3 linked regions of the Ovis aries genome follow. The protein of the gene in region 1 binds, or shares a complex with, the protein of each later gene. Links are inferred from orthologs where the notes say so. Each region holds a gene or a part of one and is shown on either strand. Other genes may lie near its edges. The genes, in order: ANP32A, TREX1 and nucleoside diphosphate kinase A 1.

What was found.
Region 2: ANP32A (region 1) and TREX1 share a complex: the UniProt entries of both Homo sapiens proteins name them as parts of the SET complex. The link is inferred for Ovis aries from reciprocal best matches to the Homo sapiens genes ANP32A and TREX1.
Region 3: ANP32A (region 1) and nucleoside diphosphate kinase A 1 share a complex: the UniProt entries of both Homo sapiens proteins name them as parts of the SET complex. The link is inferred for Ovis aries from reciprocal best matches to the Homo sapiens genes ANP32A and NME1.

Annotation. Positions count from the first base shown.
Region 1 is NC_056060.1:15,611,982-15,616,280, forward strand, and holds the start of ANP32A (acidic leucine-rich nuclear phosphoprotein 32 family member A), read right to left. Parts: upstream 2,942-4,299; 5' UTR 2,825-2,941; coding exon 2,771-2,824; intron 1-2,770. UniProt on the Homo sapiens protein: Multifunctional protein that is involved in the regulation of many processes including tumor suppression, apoptosis, cell cycle progression or transcription. Promotes apoptosis by favouring the activation of caspase-9/CASP9 and allowing apoptosome formation.
Region 2 is NC_056072.1:51,426,329-51,429,716, forward strand, and holds TREX1 (three-prime repair exonuclease 1), read right to left. Parts: upstream 1,939-3,388; 5' UTR 1,850-1,938; intron 1,559-1,849; 5' UTR 1,538-1,558; coding exon 590-1,537; 3' UTR 545-589; downstream 1-544. Other genes in the region: ATRIP (ATR-interacting protein), read right to left, coding at 2,572-2,639, 3,048-3,300. UniProt on the Homo sapiens protein: Major cellular 3'-to-5' DNA exonuclease which digests single-stranded DNA (ssDNA) and double-stranded DNA (dsDNA) with mismatched 3' termini. Prevents cell-intrinsic initiation of autoimmunity.
Region 3 is NC_056064.1:35,333,979-35,337,623, forward strand, and holds part of nucleoside diphosphate kinase A 1, read right to left. Parts: intron 3,290-3,645; 5' UTR 3,286-3,289; coding exon 3,160-3,285; intron 856-3,159; coding exon 754-855; intron 1-753. UniProt on the Homo sapiens protein: Major role in the synthesis of nucleoside triphosphates other than ATP. The ATP gamma phosphate is transferred to the NDP beta phosphate via a ping-pong mechanism, using a phosphorylated active-site intermediate.

The sequences.
Region 1 (4,299 bases):
GCCCTGGCGGCCGCCCCTGGCCCCCAGGAACGCCTCGGCGCCCTTCGGGTTCGGTCTCCGGCGGGCCTGGCCGTTAAAAATACAATAATAAGAAAACACCTCGAGCTCCAAACCAGCTCGGGAAGCTAAAAGGCCCGCCCGAGGGCCAGCCCGGCGCGCCCGCGGCCCGGCTCGCGCGCACGAGGCCCGGCCGCCCCGTCGCCCGGCCGCCGGCCCGCGCCCCGCGCCGCATGGAGCCCGGCGCCCGCATTCGGAGCCCCGCGCTCGGCGCCAGCCGCGCCATGGGGGAGGGGCGGGGCGGGCCGCGCGAGACCCGGGAAACATGGCTGCTCGTCCTATTTCGGCGTCGCGGCGTGGCCACCAGCCCCCGGATCAGAGTTGGGAGAGGCTCCCAAGGTGGGTGTGATGGGGGTCCCGGGGGGAGCAGGGCGGGGAGGGGTGCAGGGGCGCTCTCCGGGAGCTATTTATTTTAAGAATGTTTAAAAAAACGAGCCCCTCCTCCCCCACCCCTTTTGTCCCTCATTAGCTAGCTTTCTCCCCCTCCTCCCCAAACGGGCAGAAAGTGCCCCCTCCACCCCCACCCCGCCTCAAGGCAGGGGGCAGGCGAGTGGGCCGGGAGGCGAGGGGGCGAAGCGTGAGAAATCGCTCCCAGATCGGCGCGGCGCGTTCCCCTCCCCCAGCACACACTCGGGAAGTTTAAAGAGCCGGTTCGACCCGCTTTCGATCTCGCTCCCAGTTGGCCAGCAGCGGGGGGTAGGGTTGGCCGCCTGAACCGCGCCTCCACACCCTCCCGCCGCGACCCCGGCCCCCTACTTGGCGCCCTTCCCCCTCCACACGGGGGGCTTCCGGAAAGTACGCGGGAAGCCCGCGGCTCCGGCCCCCTCCCCCATCACCACACCCAGCCCCCCAATCCTCTGGCTCGGGGTCCAAGCTGGGATGAAACTGGCCAGAGAAACGCAAACCGCCGGCAAATTGTTCGTGGAAACTCCAGCGTCCTCCGGCGGGCAACCCCTCCCCTCCCTCCGCCACCCCCTCCCCGCCCTGCGCGCCATAAGGCACTGCACGTCTACAGTCCACAGCTGCGTTATGATGCGGGGGGGTGGGGGGGCGCACAAAAAGGATCTTGTTTTCAAAAGTCTCACTCAGGTTTGGGGGAGGAACTAGAGAAAAGAGGAAGCAAGGCCTGCCTCCGCCAGGGATTCGGGTTTTAACGGGTTGGAGGGGCGACAGGTCAGCGCACAGTGCTCCCCAAACTCCCAACTCTGTGGAACCCTGGCCACCGGGGCTGGGGTGAGGGTGTCCACCCGCCCGCGCTCCGCTGTCCCGGAGGGGCCACCAGAGGAGTCAGCCAGCGTCTCCGCCCCAGACCCGGGGTCTCCTCCGCTGAGCCTCCAACTCACATAAAACAGTGTTTGAAAGCGAGAGGGAGACAGAAATAAAAACGGGCGTCCGAGTAACCCACCGTCACCTTTCCCCTCCTTGGGGGTGAGCTTTCGCCCGAGCCTCCCAGTTCCCATCCGTGTAAGTTTCCTCCGGCTGTACTCCCGCTGCTGCCCAATCAATAACGGCGACGGGAAGGCAAACTCCCATCCCCGAGCTGCGTGTCTGCTATGCCCGCATAAATCTGGACCCAGCCAATACCCACCACGGGCACCAGCTCTGGGCAGCTCGCGTCCTGACAAAGTTTCCCGGGCCCATTTATTAATCGGGCGCCGAATGGCTGCCAAGGAGCCCACCCTAGAGAAAGACGGGCCGGGGGGCGTCAAGGCTCAAAGGCTGGCATCTTAGGGAGGCCGGAAGGAGCAGAGGCGAGGGGGGACCGGGACGTAGCCTTTGGGTAACTTGCAGTAGCGATCGCGCGAGGTGGGGAGGCGCGGGGATTATCTGTGCCTTTGCACGTTCGAAAATCCCTCCCCCCCTTCTTTCCATTTATCCTCCCTTCGGAAGGAAAGGAAGAAACATCAGCATCTGGCCCGAAGGTGGGGTGGAAAGAGTGAGGGAGACAGAGGAGGAGAGGAAGGGAGGCAGAGAAAGGGAGGGAGGGAGAGAAAGGGCGCGTTCACGAACACTACAAAGTTACAAATATGGCTCCCCCGTCTCTCGCCTCATCACTGCAAAGAAATGAAGACGCACTTTAAACTCGAGCCATTCCCAACTCCGCTGCAGCCCCCTCCCCACGCGCTCTCCCCAGGGGCCTCGGCCCACATTTATCAGAAACTAAACCGGACTCGCGAAGCCCAAAACTTATTGTGTGTGTGCGAGAGAGAGAGAGAGAGAGAGAGAGAGAAAGGGAGGGGGAAGGCGCGGGAGGGGGGCGGAAGGGGGGATTCATTTATAAAATATAAAACCCCCTTTTTTTGTTGTTAAATCCAGGAGGCAGCCCCTCTCCTCCTCCTCCCTCGTTAATCTTTCCCCCAGACGGAGTCACGGGAGCAGAGAGCTCAGAGGGTTATTTTGCCTCATTCTCTCCGACCCAAACGCGTGCGCCCGCTGGCCCCCGATGGGTGCACACTCGCACGCACACTCGCACCCACATTCGCACACGCGGGAGCACACGCACAGGTAGTCACACACCAAGGGCAGCGGCGGCGGCAGCCGGAACATGCTTGGATGGCATTGCAACCCCCCAACCTTGCAATTCATTTGCAGTCCGACCCCCAAGCCCACATCTCCCGGGCGCCCCCCCTCAAAAAAAAAGTGCCTCCCCCTAACGCGCACACACACAAAGTAGGAGAATGGACCGACAGAGATATTTTTGGCAAATGCTCACATCAGAGGGCGTCCTGTTCCGCAGCTCTAAATGAATCCGTTTGTCCATGTCCATCTCTCGCGCTCTCTCTCTGCAGAGGCTCCCGCGCCGGCGGAATTCAATCAATAAACCCCGAACCCACGGCCGCGCGTTTTAGGACTTTGAAGGCTCAACCAGCTCCGCTCGGTTCTCGAGCCCCCAGCACCCGCGGCGCACACTAACCTGATCACCGTGGAGGCGGGATCGGCGGCCTCGCGAATGAGTAGCAGCAGCGTTAGCCAATCGCCGCCGCCGATCTCCGGGCAACAGCGAATGGTGGTGGAGGCGGGGGGGGAAGGGACCAATGGGCGGGCTGCGCAGCCGGCCAGGGAGGCTCAGCCATTTGGTTGTGGTGCCGGAGACGGACCCCTTTAGATTTCGGGGCGGCTGAGGAGCGCGGCGGCAGCTCGGTCGCTGAGCGAGGGGGGTGGGCGGAATGGCGGGGGAAGGGAAGGCGACTGTGCCTGGAGGGCCGAGCCGCCCGGCCTCGCCAGCCCGCCGCCGCCTCAGCTTTTGGCCGGGGGCGGGGCCGCAGGTGCGTTACACGAAAGGGCGGGGTGCGGCCGGAGGGGCCGGGGGTAGGGGTCCTAGCCGGGCCGTGGGCTTCGCCCCGGGTCTGTCCGCGCCGCACGACTGGGCTGTGGAAAGAGGCAGGCGGCGAGAGGTCTGGGGGCCGCGGACTGCTCGGCGGGCGGGCCGATGAAAGGCCTGGAAAAAGGGGGGAGGGGTCAAGGGTGCAGTTGGGGGAGGGGCTGGTCATTTTCTGGGTCCAGAGGGCCGAGCTAGCGGAGCGAGGCTGCTACCCCCCATCTCCTCCGCGGGTTCCCACCCCGGGTCTGCGGCTCACAATCCGCGCGACCCTTCGCCTCCCTCCTCGTCGTAGTCCAGCCGTGACCATCGCAGCCTCTTGAATACAAAAGTAAATAAGCAAGATGCGTCCACCTTTGGATGACTTAACTCGCGGTCTAGACCCTCTACTTAAAGGGGCATTTCAGTTTGTTGTCATATAAGGTCAGCTTGGAAGGAGTGATCTGGAGGCACCGGCAGTCTTGTTTAGTCAATAAATGAGTGAAGACCATGGACTAAGAATTGATGCTGAATATTCTGAGTATTTTAAAAATGGAAAAGAAAGGTGCTAGTAAGTCTGGTTTTCTGGACCAAACATTATTTATGGGCTTTATTGACCTAGTGAAAGAAAACGGCGCAGTTTTTCATTGTCCACCTGAGTCATTTGGTTCAATTTGGACTGCCAAGGAGGCTCTATTTGGAGCATTTTCTCCAGGTTTTACGGTTTGCTTGCTTTGGGGTTTTTGAATCACAGTTGTTGTAAGAGATCTTAAAGCCTTAATTCCCATCTGGTTACCAACTTACTGTGGCCAGTTCTAGAACTTTTATTGTGTACTAAGTTGGCTGCCTATGTCTGTTAACAGATCACAGGGACTGCTGTCAACAGGACAAATACATCTCCACACAATTATTTTTCGATTCTTTTATTTCTACACGTCTACACA
Region 2 (3,388 bases), on another chromosome or scaffold:
GTCCTCCCTGCAGTGTTTTTATTTTACTGTTCACTAACTATTTTACCTGTTTTCTGTTTCAAAATGTGTGTAATGGTTGCTGTGAGGCTGAAACCGTTGGGTCCTAGAGGGAGACTTCCCTGAGAGGAGAGGGACTCTGAGTTCCTGCTTCTCCATCACCAGCCTCACAGGCTACCCGGCTGCTGGACCCCGGGCCTAGGTGTGTCCTGGCAGCGGGGACACCTGGGTCAAGGTGTCGTCTGGACCAAAGGTGGAGGGGACCCTGAGGGGGCTCCTGTGACCTAGACACATACCTCGGTGTTCCCCACCCCTCTGTCTGTGTCTTACCATGTCGTAGGTTGGGACCTCTTAATGTGTTTGGAGTCTTGGGTCTGCACCCTTGTTTGTAATAAATGCAGATATTTCGAGCTGTTGCCTCCTTTCATTGTAGCCCTGGCTGCTGGGATTAGGGGTAAAGACTCATTTTCTGTGCCCCTGGCCCCAGGTCTCTGAGCGTGGGCAGGAAGCTGTAAGGCCACCACAGCAGGTAGAGGTGAGTGATCGCTCAGTGCTGTGGGGGTTTTTTATTAGTCAGACTTCCCTTGCTGGCCTATTGCCCGGGCATGGCCAGGGACAGCCCATACAGCATGGCTACCGCCAAAGTCAGGAAGGCCAGAAGGCCCAGGGGGGCCAGCAGCCCCTCCCCGGGTGGGGCTCCAGGGCACTTCACTGGGGGAGGGGCTGGCTTGGGGCTCCTGTCTCCGCGAAGCTTGGGGCCGGTGTCATTGGCTCTGGCCAGGGGCACAGTGGCTGTGACAGCAGATGGCCTCGGGTTGGTTCCAGTAGATGCTGTGACCACGTACATTGGCTTGACGGTGCTGAAGGGCTTGGCATGAGCATCCACCCACCGTAGCAGGGCCCGCGGCCTCCACTGACAGATGCTTAGCAGGGCGAGCACGTCCCCCTCGGCGGTATGCGAGTCTGGCGGGGCCTGCCCGTATAGGCGTGTGTAGATGCTGCCCAGGCTGTAGCTCTTCCTTGGGCCATGCTCTGAGGAGCTGCCAGCCGGCTCCAGAGCCTTCAGAGCAGCGATGCTGTCCACACAGAAGGCATCGTCCAAAGCACTGGCCAGGCCCAGCAGCGCCAGCTCGGCCCGGAGCAGGGGGAAGTCGTAGCGGTCACCATTGTGGGCCACAAGGCACCAAGGCTGCGGCTGGCGCTGTAGGAAGGCGCGGATCAGGTTGACCAGGTCGGCGTCAAAGACCCGATGCCCATGTGCAGCCAGCACGGCAGTGCTCAGGCCCGTGATCTCGCTGGCCACGGGGCTGCATGCCTTCCCTGGAGCCACACACAGGGAGAGCTTGTCTAGCACCCGGGGTGGCGGGGGTGCCGTTGGTGGAGACCCCTGAGGGGTGGAAAGGCCCTCCAGGGCATATCTGTGGATGGCCAGCAGGCACAGCTCGGTGATCTTGGGCTGGGAGAAGGGCAGGCCAGTGGCCTCCAAATCCAGGAAGATGAGGGTCTGCACAGGCCCCGGGGGCAGGGCCCGTGAGCCCATGGTGGGTGTCTGCCGCTGAGCCTGGGGAGGAGCAAGGGGTCGGGGTGGGAACGTGAGTGCTCGCTGACGGGCGGTAAGGCAGGTGGAGTGGGAGCACCTCAGGCCTTCCCTGCCCCATTAGATCCTGTTGCTGAGCTCCAGCACCCACTATCAGGCAGGAAGACAGAGAAGGTAGGGTGGCTTCCTTAGTGGGACCTGCTCACTCAGCTGTCCAGGGGAAGGCTCAGCTCCTCCCCTGGGGCCCTCTTAGTGTGTGTTGGGGTACCCACAGCCCTCCCACCCTGCCTCATCCCCTTGGGGGTTCTCACTTACCGAGGAGCCAGCAGGCAGCAATGACTCAGGGTACACACTCTCTGGCTGGTTCTTGCTGCCGGCAGCAGCAGTGGCGGGAAGTGAAACTTGGCCTGAGCCCGCCCAACGGCTGGTGTGAGCACGGCCCGCCCCGCTTGTCAGCTGGCCTGGGCCATCCCTCCTAATAGCACCCGTCCTTCCCCAGGCACCCGCAGGGCTGCCCCAAAGGCCTCAGATCTCTGGCTGTGGGCCCACTGGCTAGCATGGTGCACCAGGGCCCTCACACGCTCACGGTGGGAGGACCAGGCTATGGGGGGAGGTTGGCTCCATGACTCGGCCTGCCGGGAGCCGCCCTGCCATGGCCATTTTGCACCCAGTCCGTCGCCTCACTTTCCCAGGCCTCCCTGGTTTAGGCCTGGGCTGAGGGCCGCCTCCACCCCTGCGCACAATGGTTTCTTCCGGTGGCCTCAGGAGAGAGGGATGACTCAGGGCAAATCCACAGGGGCAGGGCTCCTTCCCCAGGGCAGATTCATCCCCATGGGGCTGGGGCTCCGCTCTGCTCTGCCCCTCCCGCTCTGCTCTGCCCCTCCCGCTCTGCTCTGCCCCTCCCGCTCTGCCCATGCGGAGCAAACTCAGGAAACAGAAAGCTGGCGTGCTCTCAGCCAGTCAGTGCTTTTAATCAGAGGAGGAGGGAAGGACAGGAGTGGCTCTGGTGCCACCGTGTGGCTCGGTGCTCACAGGCCTCAGCCACAGTCCATCTCGGGCTCGTCCGCGTCGGTCTCCACGGCACAGAGATCCTCCAGGGCCGCCTCTGAGCCAAAACCCAGAAGGTTCTGTGGTGAAGGCCCAAAGGTGCTGGGACTGGGGGTGGCCCCACCACTCCGTCCGCCCCCCCAGGCCCACAGGAACTAACCAGTCCCTTCCACGCCCAGGCCTCGCTCCCTCAGCTACTGCAAGCAAAGTGACAGAAAGGCAATTCAGACAGGGATGTTTCTGGAAAAGCCGTGGCTCTGCCTGGCTGACTCAGTAGATACGAGCCAAAGGCAGGCTGATACACTGAGAGAGGAGCCAGAGCAGGAAAAGGAGGAGTGGCCTGGTGCTGGCAAAGGCTGTGTGGATGGTGGGCCGCTGACTTAAGGCCAGAGGGTCTGACTCGCCTGGGGACTTCAGGGCCGACCCCACGTGGGTGCTGGGGTGGGGGCGCCTACTGCAGGCTCACCTTCACAGTCGGTCACGTCAGGAAGCCCTCGAATCAGCATGCTGACCCCGGGCATGACCTGGTCGTACTGGTGCAGGACCTCCACGCAGTGCACCGTGAAGAGCTTGTCCTTCTGGGACAGGCCGTGCAGCAGCAGCACCGTGTCCCGCAGACACCGCACCGTCCGCCTCTGCCGCTCGGTCTGCGGGGGGCCCCCTGCCCGCCGCACCGTCAGCCACTGTCTGTGCAGCACCACCGTGAGTGCTCTGACCACCTGCGGGAGGGCGTGGGCGGAGGTCAGGGCATGTGGCCTCTGTACCCAGACCACCCGCTCGGCGGGGCAGCCCCGGTCCTAGCCTCCC
Region 3 (3,645 bases), on another chromosome or scaffold:
GACAGCCCTACATAATCTGGCCTCTGCCTCTGCCACTGAATAAATCTCACCCAACCTTCCCTTTCACCCACCAGGTTTCATCTATTCCAAACGTCCTTCTGTACTTCAAAAAGTTCCCCACCCCAGGTTCTTTGCACATGCTATTTTCTTGGTTGAGAATGCTCTTCACTCTATATTTGTGCATAGCCGGCTCCTTCTCATGCAGATCTCAGTTTGAAAATCATGTTTCTTGACCACTCAATCTAATGTGGCCACTTCCTATTATGTCATCTTATTTCATTTCTGTGCATCACTAATCATTAGCTGCTATGTATGATTTTTGGTTTCTTTATTATCTGCCCATCCTCCCTTTTCAGGATATACAGGCAAGGAAAGCTATGAAAACAGTTACCTATTTTTGTCTCATTCATGATTATATCCCCAAGTGTCTAAAAAAGAGCCTGGCACAAAGATGACAACCAATACGTGCTCAAAGAAGAATTACTACAATAAATAAGACACAATCTCTCTACCCTCCAGGAGCTTACAATCAGGCATCTCTCTCCTGATGTCTCCCAGATATGAGTCTTCAGCTCACCAAGCAAATGTATTTTGCCTTTGGTGAGTCAGAAAACTCATACCCTAATTGTCCAATGCCCCAGTCTCAGCATCCTCGCATCAGTGAAGACCTGGCATTAGGAGCAGGAATCACAATATTCACTCTTTGCTCCCAACTGAGCCATCTGTATCAACATCCCAAACATGTACACTCACCATGGCAACCACTGGCCCTGAGTGCATGTATTTCACCAGGCCAGCAAAGAATGGACGGTCCTTCAGGTCAATATAGTGCTCCTTGAGAAGGTCTTCAGAAGCCTAGCCCATAAGATAGAGAAAGAAATTTCATTCCCAAACTATTTAAGCACAATTTAGTTATTTCCCACTCACCAATCCTGCTATTTAAAACGTGAGCTCTCAGCTCACTTGTTCTATTATAATCTAATTCACTCAACTTACCAAAAGTGACAGGGACTATAAGTGCTCCAGCTTTTACCAATTTTCCCCTATTGTCCTTGATTGATCAGCATAAAATTACAGAACACTAGAACTGAATCCAGCCATGGTATTTTAGACAGGAAAACTAACAATACGATGAATTTGCATTCCCAAACAATTCTCAACTAAAATGTTAGAGGGAGGTGGTCTCAGCATTGGATGAAAAGCAAACTGAACCAGAGCATTTCTCATCACATTTAAAAAATAGCAAAGGCCCAGTGCAGTGACCATGCAATTTCCACAGGTATTGCAAACCACCCAAAAGCACATGCCATCTAACAATAAGTCACTTTACTAAAGAATAAATCTTTCACGTTGCAAGGCTGGTATCTGGGAACAAATCAGACTAGTTATAGAGAGCAAACCATCTGCTTAGCAATGCCAACTCGACTCACCTGTGTTTCCTCTTTGCTACCACTTACATGCTCCTTAAGGGTCTAATGAGATCCCTTAGTTTTCCCAGTTCTGTAGTACTGCTTCGTACAGAATGCTGCACACTTCAGTGATACACACAAACGTGGGGATTTGCTGCCAAAAAGCACATCCTGAACATGCTATCGTTCAGCCCCATTGATCGTCTCTTGCCAAAGTAAAATTACACAGCCACATCGTCACCCCGTTAGTATTCATCCTGACCCATCCCTCAATCCATATGGGAGACTTGCAGTGATTGTCTCCTGATGACCTTCCCTTACCAACATTCTTTTAATTCTATTAATTGGCGCTGGCTTTTTTTGTGTGTTGGTGCGGGAGGCGGGGACAGGTGGGAGGGAACTCAAGTTTTCCTTCACATCAGATTTAAATAACCCTGTAGGCTCATGGCAGCTATCCCCCAACCCATTCTTCACCAAGTCCAGGCCCTTGATAGGAAACAGTCTAAAGGACAAAATGTATGCACTTAAGGGTCAGAGAGCCCTGCGTGAAAATCCTAGCTACGTCACCAACTGGGTAACCACACGTTACTCAAACTCTCCAAGCCCCAGTTAGCTTCCTTATCATTAACAACCATGGGAATAGAAATAAATACTTCTCTGGGTTGTCATGAGAGCTAGTGAGAAAACACATGTGCCCAACACATGGTAAATATCTGATCAATAATACTTTGATTTCCCTTTATCTTCAAAACCTAATTCAATATACAAACTCTCTGGAAAGCACTGCTAATCCAATCCCTGGTTCTAATCATTCTATCATGCTATCCCCTCAGCATTAACAGCAGTCTGCTCCCTTTTATATTAACACACTTTTTCTAAAACATCACATGGGAACTATAGTGCAAATCAAACAAAATTTTAAATGCACTAGATGGGGAATTTCCTGGCAGCCCCAGTGGCTAGAATTCAATGCTTTTACTGCCAGGGCTGAGGTTCGGTCCCTGGTCAGGAAACTAAGATCCCACAAGCCATGCAGCGCAGCTAAAAGATAAAATGCACTGGGAAAGTCCAAAGTTGACTCTCTTTCTCTGATTCATTCACTAAAGGTGACTCTTAATAGGGGGAAAAAAAGATGATCCCCTAATGTATTTGCTTTGAGAACTTAAGTTATTTCCCAGGTGTGTTTGAAGAAGGGTTCTTGGCCAATCAATCCTTTGGAGTTTTTGAAATATTGCTTTGCAGGTATCTTGCAAGGGCATTTGCTCTCTGTTTCAGGTGGGCCTCCCCAAGGGCACAGCCACAGCTTTCCCCTATATGCCCAGATAGCGTCTAATACATGCTAGACACTAGGCAGGTGGTAAACAATGATAAAAAGACTTCCTTGCTGAAAAACAATTTGCCTCAAATGGTGGGGGGGTGGGGGCAAAGGTGAGGGTCAGGGAGTCTCTAAAATGATCTGCTCAGGAAGCTCAAGATCAGCAGCTCAAACAGGTCCAGGGCTTTGTGTCAGAAATCACTGTGTTACAGTAATATGTGGAACTCTGCACTGCCAAGAGAAAAGGGAGGCTACTTCTGAAAGTCCTGAATAACTCGCTGTATTCCAAGACTCGGTGGAGAGGCCACAGTTTCAGGACATTTATTCACTCTAAATGGAGAAATCTAAAATGATCTGAAGGGAGAGAGAGGCTGACCTACGGTGTTCCCCTATTTCTATGAAGTAATAGAAACAGCAAGAATGAAGTCCACTTACCCGCATGAATTTCATGGCAACAAGACGGAATCCCTTTTGTTCAAAACGCTTGATTATTTCTCCCATGAGGCCTCGCTGGACTCCATCGGGCTTGATGGCAATGAAGGTGCGCTCGCTGCTGGCCATGGTCCTGGGGATAGGCAGGTGGAGGGATGAAGCAACACTGAATATCCTGCCTACCTCATTATCCTTCTCAAGCAGATTATCCCACAAAGCTGCTTTAAATCTGTGACATCAATTCCAGGACTCTCTAGTAAAAACCTAATTCCACCTCAGTCCCCCCATCTATGAATTAATATCCCGGAGTGGAGAAGGGTCGAAAAGCCGGGGTTATAATTCATTTGATTGAATAAGCTTCTGTTAAGTCATATCAAGTGGATGTGACTGCCAGTTCACCCTCAATCTGGACCCAGGCGATCAGAGGCTCCTCACTCCCTCCCCTGTCCTTGGAATATACACTCTGTACACTGTTCCCATAGCAGGAGC